Macaca mulatta: one gene and its partners. The protein of the gene in region 1 interacts with the protein of each later gene in a pairwise test. Links are inferred from orthologs where the notes say so. Each region holds a gene or a part of one and is shown in the gene's direction. Other genes may lie near its edges.

Evidence for each region.
Region 2: the proteins of AKT1 (region 1) and RASSF1 interact in a protein complementation assay, tested with the Homo sapiens proteins (2 studies listed by BioGRID and IntAct, with this or other methods). The link is inferred for Macaca mulatta from reciprocal best matches to the Homo sapiens genes AKT1 and RASSF1.
Region 3: the proteins of AKT1 (region 1) and ARNT interact in a protein complementation assay, tested with the Homo sapiens proteins (2 studies listed by BioGRID and IntAct, with this or other methods). The link is inferred for Macaca mulatta from reciprocal best matches to the Homo sapiens genes AKT1 and ARNT.
Region 4: the proteins of AKT1 (region 1) and CEP76 interact in binary tests that used the Homo sapiens proteins (3 or more experiments, as listed by UniProt). The link is inferred for Macaca mulatta from reciprocal best matches to the Homo sapiens genes AKT1 and CEP76.

The regions. Positions count from the first base shown.
Region 1 is NC_133412.1:178,213,045-178,220,257, reverse strand, and holds part of AKT1 (RAC-alpha serine/threonine-protein kinase), read left to right. Parts: intron 1-2,896; coding exon 2,897-3,008; intron 3,009-3,789; coding exon 3,790-3,937; intron 3,938-4,394; coding exon 4,395-4,526; intron 4,527-4,598; coding exon 4,599-4,664; intron 4,665-5,839; coding exon 5,840-5,908; intron 5,909-6,262; coding exon 6,263-6,388; intron 6,389-6,466; coding exon 6,467-6,595; intron 6,596-6,745; coding exon 6,746-6,960; intron 6,961-7,213. UniProt on the Homo sapiens protein: AKT1 is one of 3 closely related serine/threonine-protein kinases (AKT1, AKT2 and AKT3) called the AKT kinase, and which regulate many processes including metabolism, proliferation, cell survival, growth and angiogenesis.
Region 2 is NC_133407.1:113,812,508-113,819,720, reverse strand, and holds part of RASSF1 (ras association domain-containing protein 1), read left to right. Parts: intron 1-1,906; exon of another isoform or gene 1,907-2,015; intron 2,016-2,130; coding exon of another isoform or gene 2,131-2,142; coding exon 2,143-2,249; intron 2,250-2,597; coding exon 2,598-2,999; exon of another isoform or gene 3,000-4,138; intron 4,139-4,566; exon of another isoform or gene 4,567-4,714; intron 4,715-5,109; exon of another isoform or gene 5,110-6,715; intron 6,716-7,213. UniProt on the Homo sapiens protein: Potential tumor suppressor. Required for death receptor-dependent apoptosis. Mediates activation of STK3/MST2 and STK4/MST1 during Fas-induced apoptosis by preventing their dephosphorylation.
Region 3 is NC_133406.1:116,276,272-116,283,484, forward strand, and holds part of ARNT (aryl hydrocarbon receptor nuclear translocator), read left to right. Parts: intron 1-1,377; coding exon 1,378-1,504; intron 1,505-3,636; coding exon 3,637-3,702; intron 3,703-4,108; coding exon 4,109-4,194; intron 4,195-6,040; coding exon 6,041-6,117; intron 6,118-6,800; coding exon 6,801-6,935; intron 6,936-7,213. UniProt on the Homo sapiens protein: Required for activity of the AHR. Upon ligand binding, AHR translocates into the nucleus, where it heterodimerizes with ARNT and induces transcription by binding to xenobiotic response elements (XRE).
Region 4 is NC_133423.1:83,351,957-83,359,169, reverse strand, and holds part of CEP76 (centrosomal protein of 76 kDa), read left to right. Parts: intron 1-2,215; coding exon 2,216-2,382; intron 2,383-3,796; exon of another isoform or gene 3,797-3,973; intron 3,974-4,477; coding exon 4,478-4,811; intron 4,812-7,213. UniProt on the Homo sapiens protein: Centrosomal protein involved in regulation of centriole duplication. Required to limit centriole duplication to once per cell cycle by preventing centriole reduplication.

The DNA.
Region 1 (7,213 bases):
TGTCCCCTCAGCCTTTCGGGATTCAGATTTGGGGTTGGCTGGAGCCCTCTTTGCCCACCAGGCCCCCCGATGGGGGTGCCCTGGAGCCTCCATGTTCTGGGCCAGCAAGCAACAAGCACGGGTTGGGTGGGGGTCTCTGGGCTGAGTCCCGAGGCTGGCTGGGCAGGGGTCTCCAGGCTGAGTCCCAAAGCCGAGGCTGACTGGGTGGGGGTCTCCAGGCTGAGTCCTAAGGCTGAGGCTGGCTAGGCGAGGGTCTCTGGGCCGAGTCCCGAGGCCGAGGCTGGCTGGGCAGGGGTCTCTGAGCTGAGTCCTGAGGCTGGCTAGGCGGGGGTCTCTGGGCCGAGTCCCGAGGCCGAGGCTGGCTGGGCAGGGGTCTCTGAGCTGAGTCCTGAGGCTGGCTAGGCGGGGGTCTCTGGGCCGAGTCCCGAGGCCGAGGCTGGCTGGGCAGGGGTCTCTGAGCTGAGTCCTGAGGCTGGCTAGGCGGGGGTCTCTGGGCCGAGTCCCAATGCTGGCTGACTGTGGAGCAGTTCCCTGGTGCCCATGCTCTGGAGGCTGGAGGGTCCAGACAAGTGGTAGCAGAGCCTAGCCTCAGGGTGGACAGCTGACCCGGGGGCCCCTCCTCCAAGCGGGGCAGATAGAGCCCACCTGGGTCTCTAGCTCTGAAGCCTCCATCACTCGAGGAAGAGCTCATGCCTCTGCCCGCACAGGCGCTCGGTCCCCAAACCCCGTGGCGGAACCTTTGCTTCCCTCTGTGAGGCTGCAGGCTGGAAGCCTCCTTGCCCACGAAGGGGCGGGTGCAGAAAGGCCAGCGGGGGACCTTGGCCAGAGCATCCCACAGAGATGAGAGACGTGACACTCCCTGCTTCGCCCTGCTGTGGCTTTATTTCCTACCTGTAGCGGGGGCAGGTGCGACCCTACCCATGTTAGACGGGAACCCTGGCATGGAGACCCAGGCGCCCTGCTAGGTGGGAGGCTGGGGGCACGTGGGCCTCCCAGCATGGTCCCCATTTTCTGTGTCCCTGTCCTGGAGCCCAGCTCTGCCCGTGGCAGCCAAAGGTGTGATTGAGTAGCTAAGTAGGACCCAGTTGTGGGCCATCTGTATGTGGCAGGGCTGCGTAACTTGCCCCACGCCCTCCCCAGTGTCTCCTTGGTTGGGGCTGGGGGCTTCAGGGATCAGGGAGAGGCTGGATACTCGCTGTGTGCCTGGTGGCACCTGGGACAGGGCCTTGCTGGGGACGGGTGCTGTGGGTGTGCTCGCCAGGCCGAGGCATCAGGAAGGAAGGAAGAGGGGAGCTCTCTGGGGAGGCACACGGGTGGGTACCAGCTGGGGTGGTGCCTGAGCAGCCGGCAAGGCTGGGGCCTTCAGATGAGGCCATAGGTGGGTGGTCTGGAGTGCCTGGCCAAGGAGCAGAGCTGGGCAGGGGCCAGGAGCTTTTCTCCGGGGAAGGGTTCCGGGGCAGTGGGCTCGAGACCCTGGCCCTGGGGATTGCATATTAGGGCAGATCAGACCATCCAGGAGCAAGTGGGAGGTGGGTGTGCCGGGGCTTCACACTGGTTTCCACTTCTCTGGCCTGTGTTGACACAGGCCACCCTCCCCACCAGGCTGGTCCCGAGCCCCCTCCTGGCCCCCAGGCCTGGAAGACAGCTCCCTCGCTGCCTGGCCAGGCCCCCTTGTGGTTGCCAGGGCCTCGATGCTGGAATGTCAGAGGCCCCCTACTGGCCCCTCAGCCCCCTCCTGCTTTGCACAGGCTGGGCCAGAGCCTGCCAAGGAGCCCCAGCGGCTACACACTGCACTCACTCACACCTCTCAGGGCCCCGCACGTTCCCACAGCCCTCAGGGTGTATGTGCAGTAGGAATGGCTGTGCCCCACGTATGTGTTCCCCAGGTGTGTGTGCGCTCCAGGTGTGTGTGTGCCCCAGGTGTGGCTGTGCACCAGATGTGGCTGTGCCCCAGGTGTGTGTGTGCCCCAGATGTGGCTGTGCCCCGAGTGTGGGTGTGCCCCGGGTGTGGGTGTGTTCCACGTGTGGGTGTACCCCTGGTGTGACTGTGTGCCCCAGGTGTGGCTGTGTTCCGAGTGTGGCTGTGCCCCACATGTGGGTGTGCCCCGGGTGTGACTGTGCCCCAGATGTGGGTGTGCCCTGGGTGTGACTGTTCTGGGTGTGGCTGTGCCCCACATATGTGTGTGCCCCGGGTGTGGGTGTGCTCCAGGTGTGGGTGTGCCCCAGATGTGGGTGTGCCCTGGGTGTGGGTGTGCTCCAGGTTTGGGTGTGCACCAGGTGTGGGTGTGCACCAGGTATGGTGTGCCCCAGGTGTGGCTGTGCCCCAGGTGTGGCTGTGCCCCGGGTGTGACTGTGCACCAGGTGTGGTGTGCCCCGGGTGTGGTGTGCCCCAGGTGTGGCTGTGCACCAGGTGTGGCTGTGCCCCCAGGTGTGCGTGTGCCCCCAGGTGTATTTCCCAGGTACTCAGGGTGAGATTGGGAAAATAGCAGGACATTTCTACACTAGGTGGGACAAGCTGCTTTCTGGGGTGGCCCCCTCATGCCAGCCCCTCTGTGGGATCTCCATATCCCTCATCCTCTGAGGCCTGGTGCACGGTGGGGCTCAGTGACTGAAGGAAGGGGACTGTAGGAGGGGACGATGCGGGGGGGTTGACCTGACCTTGGGCCAGATGCCCTTTGGGGCTGCCTCAACCTGGAATAGAGTGTCTGAGCTGGAATGGGGGTCCTAGCCCCACTCTATGAGGCGAGAAACTGAGGCTTGGAGAGAGGAGGAGGTGGGGCTTCCTAGGACTTGTGGGTGGTATGCAAGGGGAGCTGGCTGGTGCGGTGGGGACTGTGGTGAGGGCCCTGGGAGGGGCAGGGGGATGCATGCAGACAGAGGCTCTGCTTGCCCGCAGAGTGCCAGCTGATGAAGACGGAGCGGCCCCGGCCCAACACCTTCATCATCCGCTGCCTGCAGTGGACCACTGTCATCGAACGCACCTTCCACGTGGAGACTCCCGAGGAGCGGTACGTGGGCTGCGGCGGCCAGGCCGGGCACTTGGGCAGCCCTAGCGCTTAGGAGGGACGTGGGGATGGCGGGTGCTGGGCGCCTCTGCCTATAGCCATCCTTACTCCCCAGTGATCCCAGGCCCTCCTCAGAGCCCGGTTTGGAAACTGGCCCAGTCCTGTGGGGTTGGGTGGGGAAACTGAGGCTGGAGATAAAAACTGTCTAGGGACCGGGCACAGTGGCCGACATCTATAATCTTGGCACTTTGGGAGGCTGAGATGGGCAGATCACTTGAGACCAGGAGTTCAAGACCGGCCTGGCCAACATGGTGAAACCCCCGCCTCTACTAAAAATATAAAACTTAGCTGGGTGTGGTGGTGCACACCTGTGATCCCAGCTACTTGGGAGGCTGAGGCACAAGAATTGCTTGAACCCAAGAGGCGGAGGCCGCAGTGAGCCGAGATTGTACCAGTGCACTCCAGCCTGGGTGATAGAGCAAGCCTGGGGGGCGGAGTCCTGCTGTGGGCCTGGGTCCTGCTGGGGGTTGGAGTTTGCCTGTGGGGACAGAGCCCTGCTGGGGGCTTGAACCCTACTTGGGGGCTAAGCCTGCGTGTCCCTCAGGTCCAGAAGGGCTTTCTGACCCTGAGTGTGTGTGGCCAGCCCAGGTCAAGGGGTGGCCTCCTCAGGGCTGTCTCTGGGGACCCCGCTTGTGAGGCTGGAGGGTGGGTGTAAGCCGTGGGGTGGAGCTCCTGACCTCATGGGGTGAGGTGCAGGGCTACAGCCTCACCTGACCTCCTGCAGGGAGGAGTGGACAACCGCCATCCAGACAGTGGCCGATGGCCTCAAGAAGCACGAGGAGGAGATGATGGACTTCCGGTCGGGCTCACCCAGCGACAACTCAGGGGCTGAAGAGATGGAGGTGTCCCTGGCCAAACCCAAGCACCGTGTGGTAAGGCCTGTCCCCCTTTCTGCCTATGCCTGGGGCTACCTTGGGCTGTGGAGAGCTGGGTGGGTCATGGGGTCCCAGCTTGGCCCAGGAGACACTCAGCACTCCACAGCATCCCCATCTAGGCCGGTTTTCCATGTGGGGCGCAGCTGCTTCCCAGGTGGGTCCTCTTCCCTATGTCAGAGAAATAGTGGGGCTGCTGAGCCCTGCCAGGCTTGGGCAGTGTTACCCCACCCTTCCCCGAACCCCACGCTCTGAGCTAGGGCTGCACCGTGTGTTCCCTGTAAGTCCGGACTCCCCGCTGAGCCCCGCAGGCCACCAGGTGTGAAGCGGTCGCCTCTCCTGGCTCCGCCTCCAAGTCTGCCAAGGGTGACTCTGGGGCCCCCATGCCACCTGACACATGCCGACCAGCTGGGCACTGTGGGCAGCGCCCCCCGCTGACCCTGGTGCCTGCCCACAGACCATGAACGAGTTTGAGTACCTGAAGCTGCTGGGCAAGGGCACTTTCGGGAAGGTGATCCTGGTGAAGGAGAAGGCAACGGGCCGCTACTATGCCATGAAGATCCTCAAGAAGGAGGTCATCGTGGCCAAGGTGGGGCCGGGGTGGTGGGGCAGGGTGGAGACGAGGATGCTGGGCGGCAGCTCACCCAGCCCTGCCTTACAGGACGAGGTGGCCCACACACTCACCGAGAACCGTGTTCTGCAGAACTCCAGGCACCCCTTCCTCACGGTGAGTGGGAGCCCAGATGGGGCTGAAGGGCTGGGGTCAGGTGGCGACTCCTGGGGCTGTCTCTAGGGAACGATGTCCTGTCTTCTTGGGCACGTGAGGACTTTACGCACCGCGGATTCTGCCGCTGGTGACAGGCCTGCCCCGGAGGGTCAGGCTGTGGAGGTGCCCGATGTGGGCTGGGGGCTGTGCTCGCCGCTCCTGTGTGCAGGCAGGTGGGGCAGGTGGCCCTGGTCGTCTTTGCACTCTGCCGAGGCTCCGGGAGGCCCCAGCTCCCCATGCCCTGCAGCCCTGCCTGCCAGGCTTCTGTTGAGGCCCGGGCTCTGTCCTGGGGAGCCCGTTCTGGGGACTCGACCCAGGAGGTATTTACTGTGAAGGGGGCCAGACTCCAGCCACGTGGTTAGTTCCAGGTCACTGTGTTTGGGGATGATTCTCCTGCAGAAGGGGCCTTTGCTTTAAAAGCACAGCCGCCTGTGGTGGAAGGCAGGAAGGTGGCTCTGCCTGGGAGGGTGCATCCTCCCTTGCCAGGGCTCTGGTGCTGGGAGCACTGCCCCCTGTTGAGGTCCCAACCCGCCCTGGAGACCTGAGCCCAGGCCACTTTGCTCACCTTTCAAACACTCCTTGGCGCCTCAGGGGCTGCCAGGGCCCAGCCTGATGGCGTGGTGTGGGGGTGTGGCATGAGGCAGTGTGATGTGGGGGTGTGTGGTGTGGGACAATGTGGTGTGAGACAGTGTGATGTGGGGGTGTGTGGTGTGGGACAATGTGGTGTGAGGCAGTGTGATGTGGGGGTGTGTGGTGTGGGACAATGTGGTGTGAGACAGTGTGATGTGGGGGTGTGTGGTGTGGGACAATGTGGTGTGAGACAGTGTGATGTGGGGGTGTGTGGTGTGGGACAATGTGGTGTGAGGCAGTGTGATGTGGGGGTGTGGTGCGGGGCAGCGTGGTGTGGGGCAGCGTGGTATCGGGCAATGTGGTGTGAGGCAGCGTGGCGTGGGGCTACGGGTGGCATGGTATCGGGTGGCATGGTATCAAGCAGCATGGTATCAGGCAGCGTGGTGTCGGGCAGCATGGTGTGGGGCTACGGGTGGCATGGTATCAAGCAGCATGGTATCGGGCAGCGTGGTGTGGGGCTGCTGTCCTGCCCGTGGGGCTGCAGTTCCAGCTCCGCTTCCTTGCAGGCCCTGAAGTACTCCTTCCAGACCCACGACCGCCTCTGCTTCGTCATGGAGTACGCCAATGGGGGCGAGGTAGGGGCTGGGGCTGCGGGGGATGGGCCTCACGGCCTGTGGACCCAGCCCTGGCAGCTGGGCCACCCATAGTGGGGCTGGTCCTTCCCGGAACCTCGGCTACTCTCCACAGCACCAGACGGTGCTCCCTGCTGGGTGGGTGGTATGACGCCTGCCCAGGCAGCTGCCTGCTGTGGGGTGACTTGTTCCTGCTGAGTTAGGGCTTCTGAGACTTTCCAGGCCCCCGTGCCCTCTGGGGGCTGGTCCCTTCCCTGTGCCCAATGCCCTGAGCCCCTGCCTGAGAAACCCCAACCCTGCAGGCCGTGGGGGCAGAGGCCCCGGCCACGGCTGTGCCTCAGGTCGTGCTTCCCACAGCTCTTCTTCCACCTGTCCCGGGAGCGTGTGTTCTCTGAGGACCGGGCCCGCTTCTATGGCGCCGAGATCGTGTCAGCCCTGGACTACCTGCACTCGGAGAAGAATGTGGTGTACCGGGACCTCAAGGTGCGCCGGCGGGCACTCGGGGTGGGGGCAGGGCCCTGGGAGCCTGGCGGCACTGACCTGAGGCCACCTTTCCCCTAGCTGGAGAACCTCATGCTGGACAAGGACGGGCACATTAAGATCACAGACTTCGGGCTGTGCAAGGAGGGGATCAAGGACGGCGCCACCATGAAGACCTTCTGCGGCACACCTGAGTACCTGGCCCCCGAGGTGTGCGCCCCACCTGTGTGCATACGCGTCGCTGTGTCCCCACGTCCCGAGCACACGCAAAGCTGTGTCCTCTCTGTGCCCCAAGCACGTCACGACACCTCCCCCGGACACCCCCTGATGCCGAGTCCTGCCCATCTGCCGCCCGTGCAGGTGCTGGAGGACAATGACTACGGCCGTGCGGTGGACTGGTGGGGGCTGGGCGTGGTCATGTATGAGATGATGTGCGGCCGCCTGCCCTTCTACAACCAGGACCACGAGAAGCTTTTTGAGCTCATCCTCATGGAGGAGATCCGCTTCCCGCGCACGCTTGGTCCTGAGGCCAAGTCCTTGCTCTCAGGGCTGCTCAAGAAGGACCCCAAGCAGAGGTGAGGGCCACCCATCCCGGCTGCAGGCTCCACCTCCATCCCCTCACCCCCAGGCTGCACCTGCCCCTGTGCCAGGCGGTCCTGGCACCTCCCAGACTACACTGACAGCCAGAGCTTGATGTCCTTGGCCAGGGCTGATCCCCAAAGCCTCAGGCACAGGCAGAGTGGCTGGGTAGGGCAGGGTCAGTTGGGCCTCCATCCCCAACCCTGCAGCCCCCACACCCCCAACTCAGGAAGCCCCTGCCTGCCGTGA
Region 2 (7,213 bases), on another chromosome or scaffold:
GCCTGGAAAAAGTTAGAACCTTGGGTGTGCCCCCTGCAAGCAGGAGTTTTGTTGAGTATTTAGCAAACACCCTTGAATCAGAAGCTAAAATATGGAAGGCAGCCACACACCCAGCAGTCCTTCTGCACCCCTGGGAATCGCCAGCAAGCAAAGGTTGCTCTCCCCTAGCTAGACACCAGCTGGAATCACCAGGGGCGCTTTTACAGCCCTCCCACCCTCTAGCCTGGATGCCACCTCAGACCCATTGAATCAGCTGCTGGGAGTGGACTCAAGGCAGCAGTAAATTTTTTTAAATCCCCAAATTATTGTAACATGGAGTCTGGGTTGAGCATCAGTGCTCTGACCCATTTAGGAACTAGTGGATAGATGGTGTCCCAGGTCTGTATGTGCATGGAGACCCTCTCATCTGGTACAAGAGGACATCACAAATTCAGCTGGGGGGAGCACAAAGTTGTGACAGAATACAAAGAATAAACAAGGGCCGAGCACGGTGGCTCAGGCCTGTAATTCCAGTACTTTGGAAGGCCAAGGCGGGTGGATCACCTGAGGTCAGGAGTTCAAGACCAGCCTGGCCAACATGGTGAAACCCCGTCTCTACTAAAAAATACAAAAAAATTAGCCAGGCGTGGTGGCGGGTGCCTGTAATCCCAGCTACTCAGGAGGTTGAGGTGGGAGAATTGCTTGAACCCAGGAGGCGGAGGTTGCAGTGAGCTGAAATCACGCCACTGCTCTCCAGCCTTGGGGACAGATTGAGACTGTCTCAAAAAAAAAAAAAAAGAAAGAAGGAAGGAAGGAAGAAAAAGGCTGGGACACTGCAGCATTCTCAAAGAGAAATAAAGTGGCCATAGAGATAAGAAGCAGGATGATTTGGGCATGTTTATCAGAGGTAGAGACAAGGGAGGAATCAACGATAAGTTTGGGTTTTTGTTTCCAGTAACCGGGAGCATAGTGGCCATTTTTGCTGCAAAGAGGAAGCTGGGCAAGGGTAGCAGTGAGGTGGAAGAAAAGGGAATTAAATTTTGGCCATGTTCACTTGAAACGTCTTTTAGACATCCTAGTGAAGGTACTGGCACGGAGGATCTAATCTGAGGGTTTAGGTCAGTGTTTCAGCTGTGGATCTGGGGCAGAAGATTGTGTAGACAGACCAGGCCAGCGATCAGGACTGAGCCCAGACTTCATCATGAGATACGGAAGTTGAGTCAGAATCTGCAAAGGAGCTGAGCAGGAGCTGCAGGGGGGGTAGGAGGAAAACTGGCAGTGTAGCCCCTGGGAGTCAAAGGGAGCAAGCTTCAAATGATGCTGAGTGGGTGAGAATGGAGAATGGAACACTGCATTCCATTTGGCAGCGCATAGATCGCTGAGGACCCTGTCCTGGGCAGTTTCCTGGAGGGAGAGGCAAGCCTGGCTGAAGTGGGTAGATGGGAGAGTGAAGGCGAAGGATTAGAGTGTATAGAGACCAATGTTTTGGTCTGAGGGGAGTACAGACAGATGACAACCAGAGGGCAGAGGTAGGTTAAAGGTGTTTAGTTTTTCCTTCAAGTAAATGGGCAGATGTATTCCATAGAAGTTCCCAATGAAGGGCCGGGCGCGGTGGCTCACGCCTGTAGTCCCAGCACTTTGGGAGGCCGAGGCGGGTGGATCACCTGAGGTCACGAGTTTGAGACCAGCCTGGCTAACATGGTGAAACCCTGTCTCTGCTAAAAATACAAAAATTAGCGGGGCGTGGTGGCGGGCGCCTGTAATTCCAGGTACTCGAGAGGCTGAGGCAGAAGAATCGCTTGAACCCAGGAGGCGGAGGTTGCAGCGAGCCGAAATCGCGCCATTGCACTCCAGCCTGGGTGACAAAAGGAAGACTCCGGTTTTTGGTTTTTTTTTTTTAATTGCCAATGAGGAAAGGGGAAGCTCTGTGCTAGGCGACAGAGATCCCAACTGTTGAGCAGGCCTCTGCTGTGGCCTTCCGGCCGGTTTCCAGACACCCAGGGTGGCCAACATTAAAGTCCGCATAGCAGTGTAAGGTAAAACACTGAAGCCGGGCCTGCGGAGCCTGGCGGGCAACGGCCCTCTTCCTGGGGCTTCCCTTCAATCTCCCGGACATTTCCCCGACCTGGGGCTCCTCCGCCTCACGGCTAGGCCTCTCTGCAGATTGCAAGTTCACCTGCCACTACCGCTGCCGCGCGCTCGTCTGCCTGGACTGCTGCGGGCCCCGGGACCTGGGCTGGGAACCCGCGGTGGAGCGGGACACGAACGTGGTGAGCGCGGGGCCGAGGGCGTATGGGAAGGGCGAGGACGGGCAGGCCACAGCGCAGGCATTCTCGAAGACTGCCTGGGTGCTGCGCGCAAGGAGCGTTCTAAGTGCCGATTTCCCGGCGGCAGAGAGAGGCTAATTCTGAGCGAGGGCTGAGAGGGGTGCCTGGATTGCCGGCTCCGCAAGGCCTCCACCGGCTGCTAGCAGACCCCAGCCGCTAGCAGTCCCCAGCCAAGGCGGACGCAGGCTCCGCGCACGCGCACTTCCCGCACCTTCCCGCCCTCGCCTCCGGCCAGAGGCCACCCTTGTGCGCTTGCGCGGACGCTGGCACCCGCCCCGTTCCCTGTGGTAGGTGGGGTCTCTGAGTGGAGCTGCCGGAGCGATGAGGTCATTCCTCGGGGCTAAGTGTGCGTGTCCCCGCCCCGGCGTTCCTCCCCCAATGACACAAGAGCTAGATCCCGGCGATCTACGTTTCAGTCTTAACGGTTGCGGCGCGGCGCTGGCCCGGGCGCACGCGCACACTGACACGCGTACACGCACGCACGCGACCGGGGCGGTGGTTGGTGGCTACGGACGCGCGGGACCAGGGGGACGGGCGGGTGCGGCGATGGGCGAGGCGGAGACGCCTTCTTTCGAGATGACCTGGAGCAGCACGACGAGCAGTGGCTACTGCAGCCAAGAGGACTCGGACTCGGAGCTCGAGCAGTACTTCACCGCGCGAACCTCGCTAGCGCGCAGGCCGCGCCGGGACCAGGTGGGAGCCCGGGGGTGCCGGCGGGGGACGGGAGGCGATTGCTGGAGCTCCGCCCTCCCCGGTCCGTTGCCGCGTCCTGGGTCGGTGGGCAGCCCCACCCTCCCGGCTACGTGGCTCCCCGCGTGTCCTGGCCGGTGGCCTGCCCGCAGAACCGTGTGTAAGACCCCGATTCCACCGCCTCGATACTGGTTGCCTGGGCCCCCATGGTTTCTGTCACAGACAGGTTGAACAGGGAAAGCAGCTGTGTGGCTTGTGGTAAACCTGAGCCGGGCATTATCAAGCTATGACTAAAGCCGACCGAGCAGTCTGGACTAGCACCTCGATTTCCGCGTTCAGATGCTCCTGCTCCCTCCTTGGGGAGACTAGGGGAGGAAGTGGAGAGGGAGGAGTCCTCGCCAGGAATTGAGAAGTATGTTTAGGAAAACTGAGAGGCAGAGAGAGATCCTGCTCCTCCATTTGCACTCCTTTACGGAGCCAGCTGAGCCCTCACCTCTTCCCTGTTCTGGCCTGTCACCAGCTGCTGGAATGTGAAAGATTTTGATCCCTTCCTCTAGGGTGGATCTGGAGAAAGATTTGGAAATAGGAAATAGGATAGGAAAGAAGTCTTATTTTGGACCATAAGCATTCAGGAGCACTTTACCCACAAGAAGGGGGAAGGGTAGATTATAAAATGCCTAAAGAGGTGGAAAGAGATCCAGGTTACTAACCCAGGACTGTAAGGTGTCTCGGAACCTCCTAGGTATCCCCATTATTAGAGAACTCTGTGCCAGATGTCATGGGTGTGACCACCAGGCTCAGAGAACCAGGCCCAGGCACCAGGAAAAAGAAATAGGGACTGTGAAGCTCAGTATGCCTGGCAGCAATGGGGCGGAAATCCTTATTTAAGTGAAGAAAGTGGAGTTGTGAGTGATGCTTTGGATAAAATTTTACAAAATTCCTTACAAAAGGGGTGGTGCTCAGCACCCCAAAATCTTAGCCCAGAGCTTGGGTGCAAGGGTTGAGTGTAAACCCCTGGGCTTGTCTTCATGTCACTCAGTCCTGAGCCATTTTCCACTGTGGGAAGGTGGGAAAACCACAAGACACTAACCAATTGAAAAGGAGGGCTAGGCCGGGCGCGGTGGCTCAAGCCTGTAATCCCAGCACTTTGGGAGGCCGAGACGGGTGGATCACGAGGTCAGGAGATCGAGACCATCCTGGCTAACACGGTGAAACCCCGTCTCTACTAAAAAATACAAAAAAACTAGCCGGGCGAGGTGGCGGGCGCCTGTAGTCCCAGCTACTCGGGAGGCTGAGGCAGGAGAATGGCGTGAACCCGGGAGGCGGAGCTTGCAGTGAGCCGAGATCGGGCCACTGCACTCCAGCCTGGGTGACAGAGCAAGACTCCGTCTCAAAAAAAAAAAAAAAAAGAAAGAAAAGGAGGGCTAGCCACGGAGGCACACACCTGTAATCCCAGCTACTTGGGAGGGTAAGGCAGGAGGATCACTTGAACCTGGGAGGCAGAGATTGCAGTGAGCCAAGATCGTGCCAATGCACTCCAGCCTGAGTGACAGAGCGAGACTGTCTCAAAAATAGAAAAGGAAGCCAAGTGCGGTGGCTCACACCTCTAATGCCAATGCTTTGGGAGGCCGAGGCAGGCGGATCATTTGTGATCAGGAATTCGAGGCCGGCCTGGCCAACATGGTGAAACCCTGTCTCTACTAAACATATAAAAATTAGCCGGACATGGTGGTGTGTGCCTGTAGTCCCAGCTACTTGGGAGACTATGAATCACTTGAACCGGGAGGCAAAGGTTGCAGTCAGCCAAGATCGCGCCACTGCACTCCTGCCTGGGTGACAGGGTAAGACTCTGTCTCAAAAAAAAAGAAAGAAGGCTGGGCTTGGTGGCTCATGCCTGTAATCTCAGCATTTTGGGAGGCCAAGGCAGGCGTATCACTTGACGCCGAGAGTTCAAGACCAGCCAGGCCGACATAGCAAAACCCTGTCTTTACTGAAAATACAAAAAAATTAGCTGACCATGGTGTTGTATACCTGTAATCCCAGCTACTGGGGAAGCTGAGGCAGGAGAATCACTTGAACCCAGAAGATGGACGTTGCAGTGAGTCGAGATCGGGCCACTGCACTCCAGCCTGGACGAGAGAGCAAGACTCTGTCAAAAAAAAAAAAAAAAAAAAAAGAAAGAAAAGGAGGCTGAGAAGTCCCAAGTCGTATGTAAAATAAAACCATCAGTTTTAGGCCAGGCACAGTGGCTCACACCTTTAATCCCAGCACTTTGGGAAGCTGAGGTGGGTGGATCACGAGGTCAGGAGTTCAAGACCAGCCTGGCCAAAATGGTGAAACCCTATCTCAACTAAAAATACAAAAAATTAGCCAGGTTTGGTGGCAGGCACCTGTAATCCCAGCTACTTGGGAGGCTGAGGCAGAGAATTGCCTGAACCCAGGAGGCAGAGATTGCAGTGAGCCAAGATCACACCACTGCACTCCAGCCTGGACAACAGAGCAAGATTCCGTCTCAAAAAACAAAACCAAAAACAGTTTTCATGGACAGTGGTAGAGTGGAGGGTGGGTCCCTATGGTGCAGAAGGGAAATTCCATGGTCCTGCTATACGTCCAACTGGGATGGCTGTTGAAGTCCTCTTCTAGCAGGCAGCTTTGGAAACAGAAGAAGAAACTCTTCCTCCTTTAGAATCCTGGAAGGGCTGTGTAGTGCCTCTAGTCCAAGTCCCTTGTTTTCTGAGTGAAGATAGGGAGGTTCATTTCCAGAAGGGAAGGGGCTGGAAATGAGGTCACTGCATCCCAACCCAGGGCTCCTGGGTCATCCAGAAAGGGAAGAAGGAGCAAGCTTTCTCAGGTAGGAGCTCAGAGCCATCCCTGTGCCCTCCCTGTTCTGCAAACAAAGTGATCTTCCTTCTTGCCCTGGCACTAGAATCTGCCTGGCATTTCTCCTACCCCTAGTACTCCTCCCATCTGGGTGCTTCTTCCCATTGGTGTACTGAATAAACACATCCACTGCTTTATTCATAGCCTCTGGCCCTCATTTTTTCCAGGGCCACACCATTTGTTTTTACTAACCCGACAAGGTTGCCCACTGTCCCCAGTAAGGTTTGTGCTGGGGTTTTCACTCCAATGCTGTTCTCCATCCAGGAGACCTTTGGATACTTGGGGAAGCAAATGAGCTTCAGTTCCCACCCCTCCCCCTTTACCTTTTTCCTGTGAGGCCCTGGCCTCAGTTCTCAGCCCCACATCCTTGCTGGCTGCAGAATAGCAGCGGGTTCTGGGTGAGGAGCATTCTGCTAAAAGGCTCCACCCTGCTCCCTCATCTGTCCTCTCCATTTGTCCCCATCAGATGGTTTAAGCGCTTAAGGGGACTTCAGGGCGGAGTCAGGGAGAACCCTGGCTCTCCTGGGCTGGGCACAAGATCATTCTACAGGAAACCCTGTGGGAATTCTTCTGGGACAAAATATTGGTCAGTGCTGAGCTTAGCTGTGTCTGTGACACTCCCATTCTAACTAGGGCCTGTCTGACATCAACAGGAAGTTAGGCTGATGCAATGGGGCCAACCAAGGGAGTCTGGGAGAAGAAAGTCAGTTCAGAGGCCTGGCTGCCCTGTCCCACACTCCACCCTTCCGGCAAGAATCTAGTCCCTAGATGAGATGGGGAGTGAGTGGTGGAGTTAAAAATCTTTGGGCCGGGTTCAGTGGTTCACGCCTATAATCCCAGCACTTTGGGAGGCCAAGGCAGGTGGAACACTTGAGGTCTCCGGAGTTCAAGACCATCCTGGCCAACGTGGTGAAACCCCATCTCTACTAAAAATACAAAAATTAGCTGGGTGGTGTTGTGGCGTGCACCTGTAGTCCCAGCTACTCGGGAGGCTGAGGCAGGAGAATCGCTTGAACCCAGGAGGCAGAGCTTGCAGTGAGCCAAGATCCAGCCACTGTGCTCCAGGTTGAGCGACAGAGTGAGGCCTCGTCTCAAAAAAAAAAATCTTTCGGCCAAATCCCCGGACAGCACTGGCAGGTGCAGAAACCCACCAGGAAGCTGCCTGTGTACCTCTGGCAGATTGGAGCCTGGCCTAAAGCTGCTTTTATGTGCAGCTTGGGTCAAGGTTAAACATCATGTCACAGTGATTTTTCTCATTATGTATGAGACGTGGAGAGCTGGCTCCAAGTACTACTCTGTCCACTGGTGGCTGGACTACTGATGTGCACCACTCTCCA
Region 3 (7,213 bases), on another chromosome or scaffold:
TATCTTAATATTAGTGTAAATAGAACAGTAAAAGCCAAACTTACAGTACTTTTTTTTTTTTTTTTTTCCATACTAAGGGAATTACCCATGCTTTTATCTCATTTGTATGGATAATTATCTGGTATTTTTTCTACCTCCTAGTGCTTGGCTTTGTGCTAGGTTCAATGATAACAGCTTTTTATTCTATAGATATGGTCATTGGTCGGTGTACAAGGTGTTTTATGTTGTTGTTTGTATCTGTACTGTTGTTCTTTTTTTCTCCCCTATTTTATTATGTTCAGTCTTTTGGCCAGAGTTTGGCTAGAGGAAACAAGTCATATCTATTCTTGAGCAACTCTAGAAAAAAATTTAAAGTGGAAGCAGATAAAAACTGGTAGTTAAAATGCAAGAAATTTCAATATACTCATATTAGTGTTGTTGATCTTTAGTTTTTCTCCTTTTTTTTCCCCCCAAAAAGAAACAGGGTCTCACTCTCTTGCCTAGGCTGGAGTGCAGTGGTGCATCATAGGTTACTGTAATCTTGAACTCTCCTGGGCTGAAGTGATCTGCCTTCTTACAGCTTCTTGAGTAGCTAGGAGTAGTTCATGTCACCACACTTGGCCAATTTTTAAATTTTTTGTAGAGACAGGTTCTGTCTGTTGCCCAGACTGGTCTCAAACTCCTGGTCTTCAGCATTCCTCCCACCTTGGCTTCTCAAAGTGCTGGGATTACCGGCATGGGCCACTGCACTTGACCAGTTTTCCCCTCCTGTATGTTTTTATGATTTCATTTTTCTAGTTCTTCCTTTTCCCCAAAAGTTGTTCTTCGTTTCTATATAATAAAGAAGACAAACAGATATATATGTTTCTATAACATATAAAATTACTTGGTTTTTTTATTTGTAAAATTTTTTATTTTTGTTTTGTTTTGAGACAAGGTCTTGCTTTATTGCTGAGGCTGGAGTACAGTGACTCTTCACAGGCACAGTCATAGCACACTATAGCCTCAAACTCCTGCGCTCAAGCAGTCCTCCTGCCTCAGCCTCCTGATTAGCTGAGACTACAGAAAATTACTTGTTTTTCAACCACTGACGTTTACTCTGTATGTATGTCTGTATGTGTATACAAATAATCAGGCATGAGAATATAGCCTTGCCTCTTGTTTTCTAATACTACTTTCCACTCCTACTTTTCCTTGCACAATGTTATTTTCAGTGCTGCCTTTGAACTTAAGAGTGAGATTCATTGATGATAATTGAAGTATTTTAGACTTAAAAAAAAAATCATCTCCTGCTTGGTCAGTTCTAAGCAAGGAGATTAAGGGCATGAATAGGATGCTTACTTATCTTTGCCTTCAGTGTCTCTCCCCCTCTTCCCCACACACAAAAATGCACTCCAGACTGCTCTTCACATCCTCCTTCAGGGCGTATCCTGGATCTAAAGACTGGAACAGTGAAAAAGGAAGGTCAACAGTCTTCCATGAGAATGTGTATGGGCTCAAGGAGATCATTTATTTGCCGAATGAGGTGAGTGTCAAGCTGAGGATTGTGATTTGGTATAGGAAGGATCAAGAGCTGAGAGTTTTATTTCTGTTGGAGTTAAGTTGGATTAGCTCCAGTGGATTAAACTTAACTCTCCCTACCCAGATGGATTGTAACACAGAATAAAGTATTTGGTAAAGGAACTAATGTTTCTGAACTTGCCAGACACTATGATAGGTGCTTTCTGTCATCTTATTTCATCCTCACAATTGCCCTGTAGTGTAAGATTGATGGTTACCGTTTTGCAGATGGAAAAACATATATAAAGAAATGAACTTGGCTGGGTGCGGTGGCTGAAGCCTCTAATCCCAGCACTTTGGTAGGCTGGGGAGGGTGGATCACCTAAGGTCAGGAGTTCGAGACCAGCCTGGCCACCATGGTGAAACCCCGTCCCTACTAAAAAAAAATACAAAATTCGACGGGTGTGGTGGTGTGCACCTGTAATCCCAGCCACTCGGAGGCTGAGGCAGGACAATTGCTTGAACCCAGGAGGCAGAGGTTGCAGTGAGCCGAGATTGTGCCATTGCACTCCAGCCTAGGCAAAAAGAGTAAAACTGTCTCAAAAAAAAAAAAAAGAGAAAAAGAAATGAATTTCCCACTATTACATAGTGTTTGATACAGGATTTTGTTTTAATTCATAGTTGTCTGACTACAAAACCTGTACTTTTTCCCCATTAAAACACAAGGCAATATCCATTTACTCAGACCATTTCTTCTTTTTGTTTTTGGTTAGAAATTTGAGACTTCCTATGTCTTTCAGTTAGTGTTTAGTGTTTATAAATGATATACTGTATATTTTAGGATTCTGTAGAAAAGATGGTGGTCCTTTCTAAACAGGTACAAAAGACATCTTGGGGTCACAAAATTCAGGTTATATAATGGAAATTGACTACATTGTACTAAAAGGATGGTTGCTAGAAATTATGGGTAGGATATTAAAGGTTTGCTTGGAGAGGCACAAAATTGAACATTATGTGGTTTAGTGATTTATTTTTATTTTTATTTATTTATTTTTTTGAGACAGAGTCTTGCTCTTTTGCCCAGGTTGGAGTGCAGTGGCATGATCTTGGCTCACTACAACCTCTACCTCCTAGGTTCAAGCGATTCTCATGCCTCAGTTTCCTGAGTAGCTGGATTGCAGGCGCATGCCACCACAGCTGGCTAATTTTTGTATTTTTAGTAGAAACAGTGTTTCACCATGTTGGCCAGCCGGCCTCAAACTCTTGACCTCAAGTGATTCGCCTGTCTCGGCCTCCCAAAGTGCTGAGATTACAGGCCTGAACCACTGTGCCCAGCTTGTAACTTAGAGTAGCTTCTAGACTCAGACTGCTGGATTTTGTTTTAATCCATATTCTGTGGATTTGAATTCTAGCTTTGATGCTATCTTCTGAAACCTTGGATGATTACATGACTATATTGTGCTTTGATTTAATCATCTCAATGGCGATAATGTTAATACTGACTTTATAAAGTTGTTATGAAGATTAGATGAATTAATATATGTAAAGATATTTAGAACAGAGCATGACATGTATTAACCCTATGTAACTTTTATTTTTATTTTATAGAATGGGGAGAGGGAAAGTAGCATTGGCAGGAGTATCCCAATATGTGGACATGGCTAATGCAAAGACATAGGCAAGAGTGAGATAATAATGAACTATAGCAATTACATTAAGTTGTGGTTAATGTAGAGCAGGAGTAAGCAAACCACAGCCCTTTGTTTGTAAATAAAGTTTTATTGGAACATAGCCATGCCCATATTTTTACATATTATCTATGGCTACTTTCATGCTATAATGCTAGAGTTGACTAGTTGCAACAGACCTTCTGGCCCATGAAGCTGAAAATACTTACTATCTGGTACTTTACAGAAAAAGCTTACCAACTCTTGTTGTTGAGAATATTTGCATTTGAAGAATATATGGAACATTTTGACTTCAAATTCTAAAAGTTCTAGAAATACTAAACCTGACTTACCTTTATCCTTCATTCTTAGAAGCATTACCAATTTTCTATGTCTAATTGTATCCAGAGCCTGTTATTCTGCTATTACTGTGGAAAGTTCTTTGATAGTGCAGCCTGATTGCTTTTAATCTCTTTGTTCTTTGAAACAGGTGTGGCAGTAGCTCTGTGGACCCAGTTTCTGTGAATAGGCTGAGCTTTGTGAGGAACAGATGCAGGTGAGATCCTAAGTGGTGAAAACCAAAGGGATGGCCAAATACCTGTAGAGATCATCACATTTTTACCTATCTTACTGTAGTTGTTCCTTCAGCAGCCCTCACTTTCATCCCTTACCTCCCAGTTACTTTTTTTTCTGGCAATATTTTCCTAAACTTCTAAAACTTCTCTTGAAAATCCTGTTTAAGGAAGTTGCTATGCTATTTTACCTGCTTTCCTCCTACTGCATACCTTTTGGTTACTTTACTTTGGCAAGGGTAAAAATGTGGTGGTCATTTTTGGGTGGGAAAGCTGATTATCCTGTTTTGTAAACTCCTAAGAGCCTAAACTTAAAGGTACTAAGCCAGCATTGCCCTTTGAGTTTTACTGGGTAGATTTTTTTTTTTCTAATTCCTGTAACTCTTCTAGGAATGGACTTGGCTCTGTAAAGGATGGGGAACCTCACTTCGTGGTGGTCCACTGCACAGGCTACATCAAGGCCTGGCCCCCAGCAGGTAAGAAAGTGAAACAGTAGATATTTCCCCTTAGAGCCGTTGGTTTCTCACAGAGTCCATGAAAACTAATATTTATTATATACCTGGTATATGAAATGTACTTTTGTATAATATGAAAGAAAATAGGAAAGTAAAATACACAATCTTTCCCTTCCGTTATTGAGCTTTTATTCCAGTTGAGGAGATAGATAATTCAGGCTGGAAAATGATTCAGTGTTGGCTATGTCACAGAATGTGGTCTTTAAATGCACAAATTTATACTGAACGTATGTGTTCTAAGCATTTCTTGCAAAGAAGCATAGACATTGAATGCAGTTAATTTGAGAAAGCTTTCTAAACTAGGAACAAGACTTTGAGGGAAAAGGGGGAAATGCCTTTATTGTAATAACTTATTGAGGATATTCTCTGCAAAGGCTTTAAATCAAGCTTTGAGCAGATTGGCTTTACTAGAACTTGAGGTCAAACACGGAATGTGAGAAAGGTGATTGGGTTGCAGGGATCAACGTTTTAAGTTGGCTTGTCAGAGTTTCCAAATCTTAGCAACTTTATTACTTCCCTGCCGCATGGATATTATTGGAAAGTAGGGATTTGGGGGAGACAGAAACTAAGAGAAAAGAGAAGCAAGGTGATGTGTTTCAGAAAGAGGTTAAACTTTGGACGTGGAAAAACCTGGGTATGATTCCTGTCATTGTTATTTATTAGTGGCATTGCCTAGGGTAAGTTGCTTGACCTTTATAAAGCTCAGTTTTCTCATCTGTAATTTGGAGTTAGTACATCCTGTATAGGGGTTTTGTGAGGATTAGATTTAATTTAAGGAAAGCATCCAGCCCAGTGCCTGGCATGTGGCAGGTACCCAATAAAAGTAGTTAATGTAATTAAAAAAAATTTCACTGAAGTAGTAATGACATTTGAATTAGTCTATATACTACATAATCCATACATTTAAAGTATGTTATCTTTCGTACCTCTGTGTAGCATCAAGGAGTACTATTTTTCTGGATAAAAAGAAACTGTGCAAACAATAGGGGAGAAATGCAGTCTTCTTCCTTTTCTCTGTAAAACATTGGTTTCTCTCTTTTCCAAGGGACATGAATAACTATTGATGGTTGGTATAACTTCATTTTGGGTTGCTTGCTAACTTTAAAAGTCACAGATGAGGCAAAGCATACATTTTCTGCCTATAACATGGTCATAGAATGGATGTCTTCATATATGCCTTATTTGGCCAGCATAGTTTTTTAGAATACTCTGGGTAGGACTTGTATTTCCAGTTTACTATAATTAACATGGGTAAAAGGTAGGAATCAATATATATGTAAATACTTAAAACAATGACTGGCATATATGGTAAATTTTACGTAATTGTTTATTTTTATTCTTATTTATCATTCTCTATTGCTTTATGCTTAGCCTCTTCATAACTGGATGTATTTTGTTTTGTTTTGCTTTTTGTTTTTTTTTTTTGAGAGGGAGTCTCACTCTGTCTGTCACCCAGACTGGAGTGCAGTGGCGCAATCTCGGTTCTCTGCAGCCTCTACCTCCTGGGTTCAAGTGATTCTCTCACCTCAGCCTCCCAAGTAGCTGAGATTACAGGCGCATGCCACCACGCCTGGCTAATTTTTGTATTTTTAGTAGAGATGGGGTTTCACCGTGTTGGTCAGGCTGGCCTCAAGCTCCTGTCCTCAAGTGATCTGCCCACCTCGGCTTCCCAAATTGTTGGGATTACAGGCGTGAGCCACGGTACCTGGCCCATAAATAGGTCTATTTTGAATCTTTACTTGTCTGAGTTTTGAAGGCATTTGAGTTGGAGGTCCCTGTTAAACCTTTTAACCTCACCTTTCTGAAGGTGTTTCCCTCCCAGATGATGACCCAGAGGCTGGCCAGGGAAGCAAGTTTTGCCTAGTGGCCATTGGCAGATTGCAGGCAAGTATGAATTTTCCATATGTATATCCCCTTTCAATTAGAAAAAATCTTCAGGACTCATTCCTGTTAATTTTCTTTTACTTTCTGAATACAAATGAAGAATTCCACAAAACTGTAAAAATTTGAAGGAATATGGCATTTATAGTGACCATTGCTATTCTTGGACTTAAGTAGAAGTTGAAAAGCATGAGAGGAGGGAGATCTTTTTCCCCTTGTCTTAATTTTAGCTTTACTATGCTTAATTTTCAATTGCCAGTTAATCTCCTTTCCCCCTGTACAAAAGAAGAAAGATCCTTTTCATTTTATCATTACCTGACTAACATTAGAAAAGTGGAATTATTTTGATTTTTTTTCATAAGTATAGATAAGTTTCTTGGTTACTTGTACCATATCAGCCTGAGTAATGAGCTCAGCCTAGCTAGATGAAAGTATGTGGATTTTGGGTTGAATAAACTTTATTCTTACTTTACTAACTTGGTAAAGTGTAAATGTTTGGGAGTAGAGCTAGACCTTATGCCTTGTCTGATTGTGATTGTCATTTTTTTTCCTTTTTGGATAAAATGTGAACGTTTAGAAAGTCCTAAAACGGAATCTTATGTGTATGCAAAAGACCATGAGGAGATAGGAAATACATCTGTAAAGACTGGTGTCATTTTACCTCATTTTTATCTCTTCACTCTCAGGTAACTAGTTCTCCCAATTGTACAGACATGAGTAATGTTTGTCAACCAACAGAGTTCATCTCCCGACACAACATTGAGGGAATCTTCACTTTTGTGGATCACCGCTGTGTGGCTACTGTTGGCTACCAACCGCAGGTGAGGAGCTGGAGCTATTACATCACTAATACCTAGGCCTCCATTTTCCTTTGGCTGTTTTGAGATTATGTAATCATGTAGTTCCTAAGATAGCCAAAACATACCAACCTCAGTTGAGAAAAAGAGATCATCATATTCTGTTAGTACCTAACATTATTTTCAGCTTCCTATTAGGACTGTCATCTCATGTAGAGAAATACGGCTTGTCAAACCAGGTGGGAGCAGCAGGTACAAATATGTATTTATTTTTTGTTATTCATATTAATACAGATAATGAT
Region 4 (7,213 bases), on another chromosome or scaffold:
TTTCGATGTTATCGTGAATGAACTTTTACATTGACTATCTTTGCAGATATTATTATTTTACTTTTGAATTTTCTTTAGGACAAAATCTCAGAAATAATTGGGTCTAAAAGGTTGATTGGCCACATGCAGTGGCTCATGCCTATAATGCCAGCACTTTGGGAGGCCAAGGTGGGCGGATCACTTGAGGTCAGGAGTTCGAGACCAACCTGGCCAAAATGGTGAAACCCCGTCTCTACTAAAAATATAAAAATTAGCTGGGTATGGTAGTGCACACCTGTAGTCCTAGCGACTCTGGAGGCTGAGGCAGGAGAATCGTTGGAACCTGGGAGGAGGAGGTTGTAGTGAGCCAAGGTCATGCCACTGCATTCCAGCCTGGGTGACAGAGCGAGACTCCATCTCAAAAAAAAAAAAAGTAAATTAAAAAATAAAAGATTGGTTATTACATTTTTGTAAAGTCACTTTAAGAATTATAAAATGCTGTTTGTTTTCTTACAGTTAATTAAAAAAAAAAAACTGTAGCACCACCAATGCAAATTTTTTGGAGAAAGAAATTTCTTGGCGAGGTAAGGTGGCTCATGCCTGTAGTCTCAGCACTTTGGGAGGCTGAGGCAAGCAGATTGCTTGAGCCCAGGAATTCGAGACCAGCCAGGGCAACTTGGCGAAACCCCGTCTCTACAAAAACACAAAAAATTGCTGGGCCTGGTGATGAGCGCCTGTGGTCCCAGCTATTCAGAAGACTGAAGCGGGGGAATCGCTTGAGCTAGGGATGTCAAGGCTGCAGTGAGCTGAGGATGTCAAGGCAGCAGTGAGCTGAGATCGCCCCTACTGCACTCCAGCCTGGGTGACAGAACTAGACCCTATCTCGAGAGGAAAAAAAAAAAGAAAGTTCTTCATTCTGAAACGCAACTCAAATAGTTATTTTTGCTTTTGCCTGTAGTTTTCGTACACTTAAATACAAAATTGTAGCCATACTGTTTAATATCTTAGTAATTTTTTTCACAAAACACAGTATCAGATATTTTCTTTTCTTTTCTTTTTTTTTTTTTTTTTGAGACAGAGTCTCACTCTGTTGCCCAGGCTGGAGTGCAGTGGCACGATCTCAGCTTACTGCAAGCTCCGCCTCCCGGGTTCAAGTGATTCTCCTGCCTCAGCCTCCCGAGTAGCTGGGATTACAGGCACACACCACCATGCCCAGCTAATATTTTCTGGTTTTTTATAGGTCTTTATAACTTTTAAAATTGAAAGTAATATAACCACCTCAAAGAAAATCTGGAAAATAGAGTGGAAAATTATATATAACCTCCCCAGTAGTAACCATTGTTGGCATTTTGTTGTTGTTCTTGCCAGTCATTTTTCCTATATATATATATTTTCTTGAAATTATCACATATAGATACTATCAGTCATTGGTTGAGTGCTTTCCATTTATTTGCATTTCTTGCTGTATGACTTGTTTGCTTGTTTGTTCATGTCCTTCAGCTATTAATCTATTAAAATATTCCAGGCTGGGAACAGGAGCTCATGCCTATAATCCCAACACTTTGGGACGCTGAGGCAGGAGGATTGCTTGAGCCCAGGAGTTCAAGAGCAGCCTGGTTAACACAGTAAGACCCCCGTTTATACAAAAAATTAGCTAGGTGTGGCAGTGCACACCTTTAGTTCCAGCTACTTGGGAGACTGAGACAGGAAAATCACTTAAGCTTGGGAGGTCAAGGCTGCTGTGAATCATGTCACCAGCCTGGGTGACAGGACAGGCAAAAGGCTGTCTCAAAAAAAAAAAAAATTCTACTTTTCTTTCTATGTTGTGTGAGTTCTTTATAAAACTTTTTTTTTTTTTTTTGGAAACAGAGTCTCACTTTGTTGCCCGGGCTGGAATGCAGTGGCGCGATTGCAGCTCACTGCAACCTCTGCCTCCCGGGTTCCAGTGATTCTCTTGCCTTGCCTCCCGAGTAGCTGGGACTATGGGTGTGCACCACCACGCCCAGCTAATTTTTGTATTTTTAGTAGAGACGGGGTTTCCCTATGTTGGCCAGGCTGGTCTCCAACTCCTGACGTCAAGTGATCCACCCGCCTCGGCTTCCCAAAGTGTTGGGATTACAGGCGTGAGCCACTGTGCCCGGCCAATAAATTTTTATTATAACTTTGTATTTAAGTAAGTAATGAGGAAACAATATGGAAGAACGAATACTTCATTTTAATTTGTCTTATCTTCCAGGGTGACTGTGAAGATCATGCTAACCTTCTGTGCAGCCTTCTTCTTGGATATGGATTAGAAGCCTTTGTTTGTGTTGGGACCAAGGCAAAAGGAGTACCTCATGCATGGGTTATGACTTGTGGAACTGATGGGACCATCACTTTTTGGGAGAGTTTAACAGGACACAGGTTAGTCTACTAAGTGTATAAGGATATTAAAATGAAGTTATAAGTTTTTTTTTTTTTTGAGACGGAGTCTTGCTCTGTTGCCCAGGCTGGAGTGCACTGGCACAATCTCAGCTCACTGCAACCTCCACCTCCCAGGTTCAAGCCAATTCTCCTGGCTCAGCCTCCCAGTAGCTGGGATTACAGGTGCACGCCACTGCACCTGGCTGATTTTTATAATTTTAGTAGAGACAAGTTTTCACCATGTTGGCCAGGCTGGTCTCAAACTCCTGACCTCAGGTGATCCACCCACCTCAGTCCCCCAATCACGCTGGGATTACAGGCGTGAGCCACCGTGCCCAGCTTAAGTTTTAAGTATTTTAAATTATAAGGGTTTTTTGTCCATATTGATGGTACTTGAAGGTACGTGTTGATGATTTTAGTTAGAGCCTTTTTAGTGATTACGTAAAAAAGTACTTCAATTATGGCAGCTAAGTAAATGAACTCTAAGAAAATTTTTACCTCAAATATTCTTTACCAACATGATGTTCGTAAACAGTAAATTATATTTACTAGTTGTGTATGATTAGCATCTTTTTTTTTTCAGTTTTCTCTCTTTTTTTTTTTTTTGGCAGTGTCTCACTCTGTTGCCCAGGCTGGAGTGTAGTGGCACAGTCACAGCCCACTGCAGCATCCCCTTCCTGGGTTCCAGTGGTCCTCCTACCTCAGCCTCTTGGGTAGCTGGGACTGCAGGTGTGCACAGCCATGCCTAGCTAATTTTTTTGGAGGGATGAGGTTTTGCTGTGTTGTCTGGGCTGGTCTTTAATTCCTGGGCTCAAGCAGGCTGTCCGCCACGGCCTCCCAAAGTGCTGAGCCACCACGCCTGGCCGGCATATGTTTTTTTCTGATGATCATCCCTAAGCCTGAAAATAAGTTCAAGTTGTAAATCATTATTTCTTTTTAAAATTTGATGTGGTTACCATCTCCATGTTGGCAATCCACTGGACACATTTTTTGAAGTACTTTAGCCTGTCATCAGATTTTGAAAGAGCTGAGTACCTCTGTTGTAGGACTTCCTCCTTAGTTCAGCTAAGAGCTGGATCTTTGTCACACTGCCACGAAAAATTAGGCTCGTAGGCAATTTGAAGGGGGAGAAAAATGGAATTTATTGGACAAAAAGGAAAAAAACTGGGAAACAGGGACCCTCCACAAAGCCAGAGCGCCCGCTAGTGTGCTTCCCGCCTCGCAGATTCACTTCCAGGGTCCACTCAGGAAGAGGAGGGGCCAGGCTCCTCCCCACTGCAAATTGCTGAACTTGTGTGGCTCCACCCCAGTGTACGCTCCTCCCAGTGCACAGGCTGGTTGGAGTTTCTCTGGGGACCCCTTTCCACCTGGCTGTCTCACTTCTCTTCCTGGGATATTCTCTTTCCTTAGCTTATTTCTTGTAATTGTCTTTCAGTATTCATTATTCCTCTCTGGCTGTTCGCAGTTTTTCCTTCATCTTGTCTTCAAATGCATGTGTTCTAGAGGCTTGGCCATGGGCCCTCTTCATTTCCCTGAGTCCTTTTTCTCCCTGGTTGATAATCATGCACAGTGATGTTTTGGTTAGTTGTGCCTAAAAATGCATAACCAGATTATTTTAATTATGTTATCTAAAGCAAACTTTTTTGATTTTTTTTTTTCTTGGAGACGGAGTTTCACTCTTGTTGCTCAGCCTCCCAAGTAGCTGGGACTACAGGCACGCACTCCCACGCCCAGCTAATTTTTGTGTTTTTAGTAGAGACAGGGTTTCACTACGTTGGTCAGGCTGGTCTCGAACTCTTGACCTCAAGTGATCTACCTGCCTTGGCCTACCAAAGTGCTGGTATTACCGCACCCGGCCTTTGATCTTAACAGTATACACAGAATGTATTCTGTTGTTTAGAGTTGGTTTCAGTATTGTAAGATGTACCATACAATTAATACAGAGTAATCAAATTGTGGAAATAAAGAAAAAAAAGTATTAAACTCTAGTTCTGAAAAAGTAGTTATGGCCTTAAGTGTTAGAATAATTTTCTCAGTAAGATGCTGCCTTCTTAATTTTTAAGTTCTCATATGTAAAATTATTTAATTTTTTTAGGTACATCCATAAACCTGCCAATCCTGATGAACCTCCAGTTGCTGAACAGCCCAAACCACTGTACCCATATCGAACGATTGGTTGTGTTTTCAACCATCAGATGTTCCTGGGAAACTGTCAACCGTCTGATGCAGTAGAAACCTGTGTCTTTGATTTGAATGATGAATCCAAATGGAAGCCCATGAGTGAGGAAGCAATTAAATCTGTGTGTGCTCCTGGAGCTACAACATCCCTTCCTCCCTTTCCACCTCTGTGCGCGTCCACAATCGACGCGTCAGTAACAAGCAATGACATTGAGATGCAGCTGAGGCTCCTAGTGTCAGAGCACAGGAAGGTAATTCACACCGAGACCGTTGTGGTTTCCTACTTCTTTTCATTTGTGTATTGTTGTATTTAACTCTTTTCTGGTGTGTGTGATAGTGCCAGTCACTATTCTAGACCTGAACAAAACAACTATAGTCCCTACTATTATGAACCTTATAATTTTGAAAGTCGTGAAAGTTTAAGTTCTGAGACTCAGAAATCTCCAAATTAATTAATACTTACAGAATGAATTACTTCCTCTTAGAAATGAAGAATGGTGAACCTGTTCACATCCCTTAGAGTCAAGATTTTTGCTGAATACCACTATTTGGATTTCCTCTTTGTGAAATGCTTATTCACATATTTGCCCCTTTAAAAATCCTGGGTTAGGCTGGGCTTGATGGCTCACGCCTATAATCCCAGCACTCTGGGAGGCTGAGGTGGGTGGATCGCTTGTGCCCAGGAATTCAAGACCAGCCTGGGGAATATGATGAAACACTATCTCTATTATTTTTAAAAGAAAAAATATGTATACTGGGTTATATTTTTTTCATATTCATTTTTCTCCCCAGGTTGGTTCCTGTTTGTTTTCATATTATACTCAACTAAGTAGATGTCTGGCTTTAATCTGCATTTCCCTGATTACTTATGAGATCAAGCCTCTTTTATTTTTATTTTTATTTTTTATTTTTAAGATGGAGTCTCTCGCTCTGCCACCCAGGCTGGAGCGCAGTGGCGTGGTCTTGGTTCACTGCAACCTCCACCTCCCAGGTTTAAGCAATTCTCCTGTCTCCGCCTCCTGAATGACTGGGATTATAGACATGTGCTACCATGCCGCCAATTTTTGTATTTTTTGTAGAGATAGGGTTTCACCACGTTGGCCAGGCTGGTCTCGAAGTGATCTACCTGCCTCAGCCTCCCAAAGTGCTGGGATTACAGTTGTGAGCCACTGTGCCCAGCCAGATCAAGCCTCTTGTCAAATAGCATGAAGATTTCCTTTGTAAAGTGCCTTTAAGAAGATATAAAAAGTATTAAGTCATAAAGGAAAAGATTATATCTTAAAGACTTAAGTTCATCAAAAGAAAACATTAAGAGATTGAAGCTGTGGGGTGGGAAAAGTTATTTGTAACACGTATCACCAACAAAGGACTCGAATCCAAAATTCCTACAAGATTGAGTTCTCATTCGCCTTTTAGGGTTCCCTGTTCCAGTCCCCACCTTGGGTGAGCCCTGTTTTCTATGTTCTTTGAGGCTATCAAAGGCAAACTGATTTATCAAACATGTTCTCTGGGTTCCCAGTTACTCTTAGCTTTGGCCTCTAATATATTTCTTATTCACTTGTCAACTTACCAAAGCATTTAAATATATATTTTGGAAAACTTGGCGTTTGTAATATGGTTTCAGCAAGAGTTGGTCAGGATACCTCTGGTCCATTATATTGCTGGAAATGAATGCCCCTTATTACTTTTTATTTCCTTCCATCACTTGTATTGCCTTTAGCTTTCTTTTCTTAGGTTCTGCTTACAAATAAAAGCAGTATCTTATAAGAATTACTTTTGGCCAGGCATGGTGTCTCACGCCTGTAATCCCAGCAGTTTGGGAGGCTGAGATGGGTGGATCGCTTGAGCTCAGGAGTTCAAGACCAGCCTGGGTAACATGGTGAGACCCTGTCTCTACAAAAAGTACAAAAATTAGCCGGGTGTCGTGGCGCATGCCTGCAGTCCCAGCTACTTGGAGGCTGAGGTGAAAGGAGCCGGGGAGGCGGAGGCTGCAGTGAGCCGAGATTGTGCCACTGCACTCCAGCCTGGGTGACAGAGTAAGACCCTGTCTCAAAAAAAAAAAAAGAAAGAAAGAATTACTGTTTATAGAAAAAGAAAACGAAGCTGTGACGGATGCCAGTGTTGATCACTATTTAAGTTAAGGTGCCTATAAATCAGCAAAAGTTCACATTTTGCCACAGGAGAAGCATTGTTAACCATGGACCTTTGAGACCATTTGTGACGAGTTAAAACTTTGAATGTGAAATGAGGAAATGCCAGAGCCCATTACGATAATCAAAATATCTAGAATTTTGAGAATTTTTTGTATTTGTAACAATATTATTTTTAACTTCATATGTCTAGATATCAATAGATATCATTTGGTGTTACAAATGGAATCATGGGCTGGGTGCGATGGCTCACGCCTGTAAATCCCAGCACTTTGGGAGGCCAAGGTGGGTGGATCACTTGAGGTCAGGAGTTCGAGACCAGCCTGGCCAACATGGTGAAACCCCGTCTCTACTAAAAATGCAAAAATTAGCCGGGCTTGGTGGTGGGTGCCTGTAATGCCAACTACTCAGGAGGCTGAGGCAGGATAATCAGCTGGGAGGCAGAGGTTGCAGCGAGCCAAGATCGTGCCACTGCATTCCAGCCTGGGCAACAGAGTAAGACT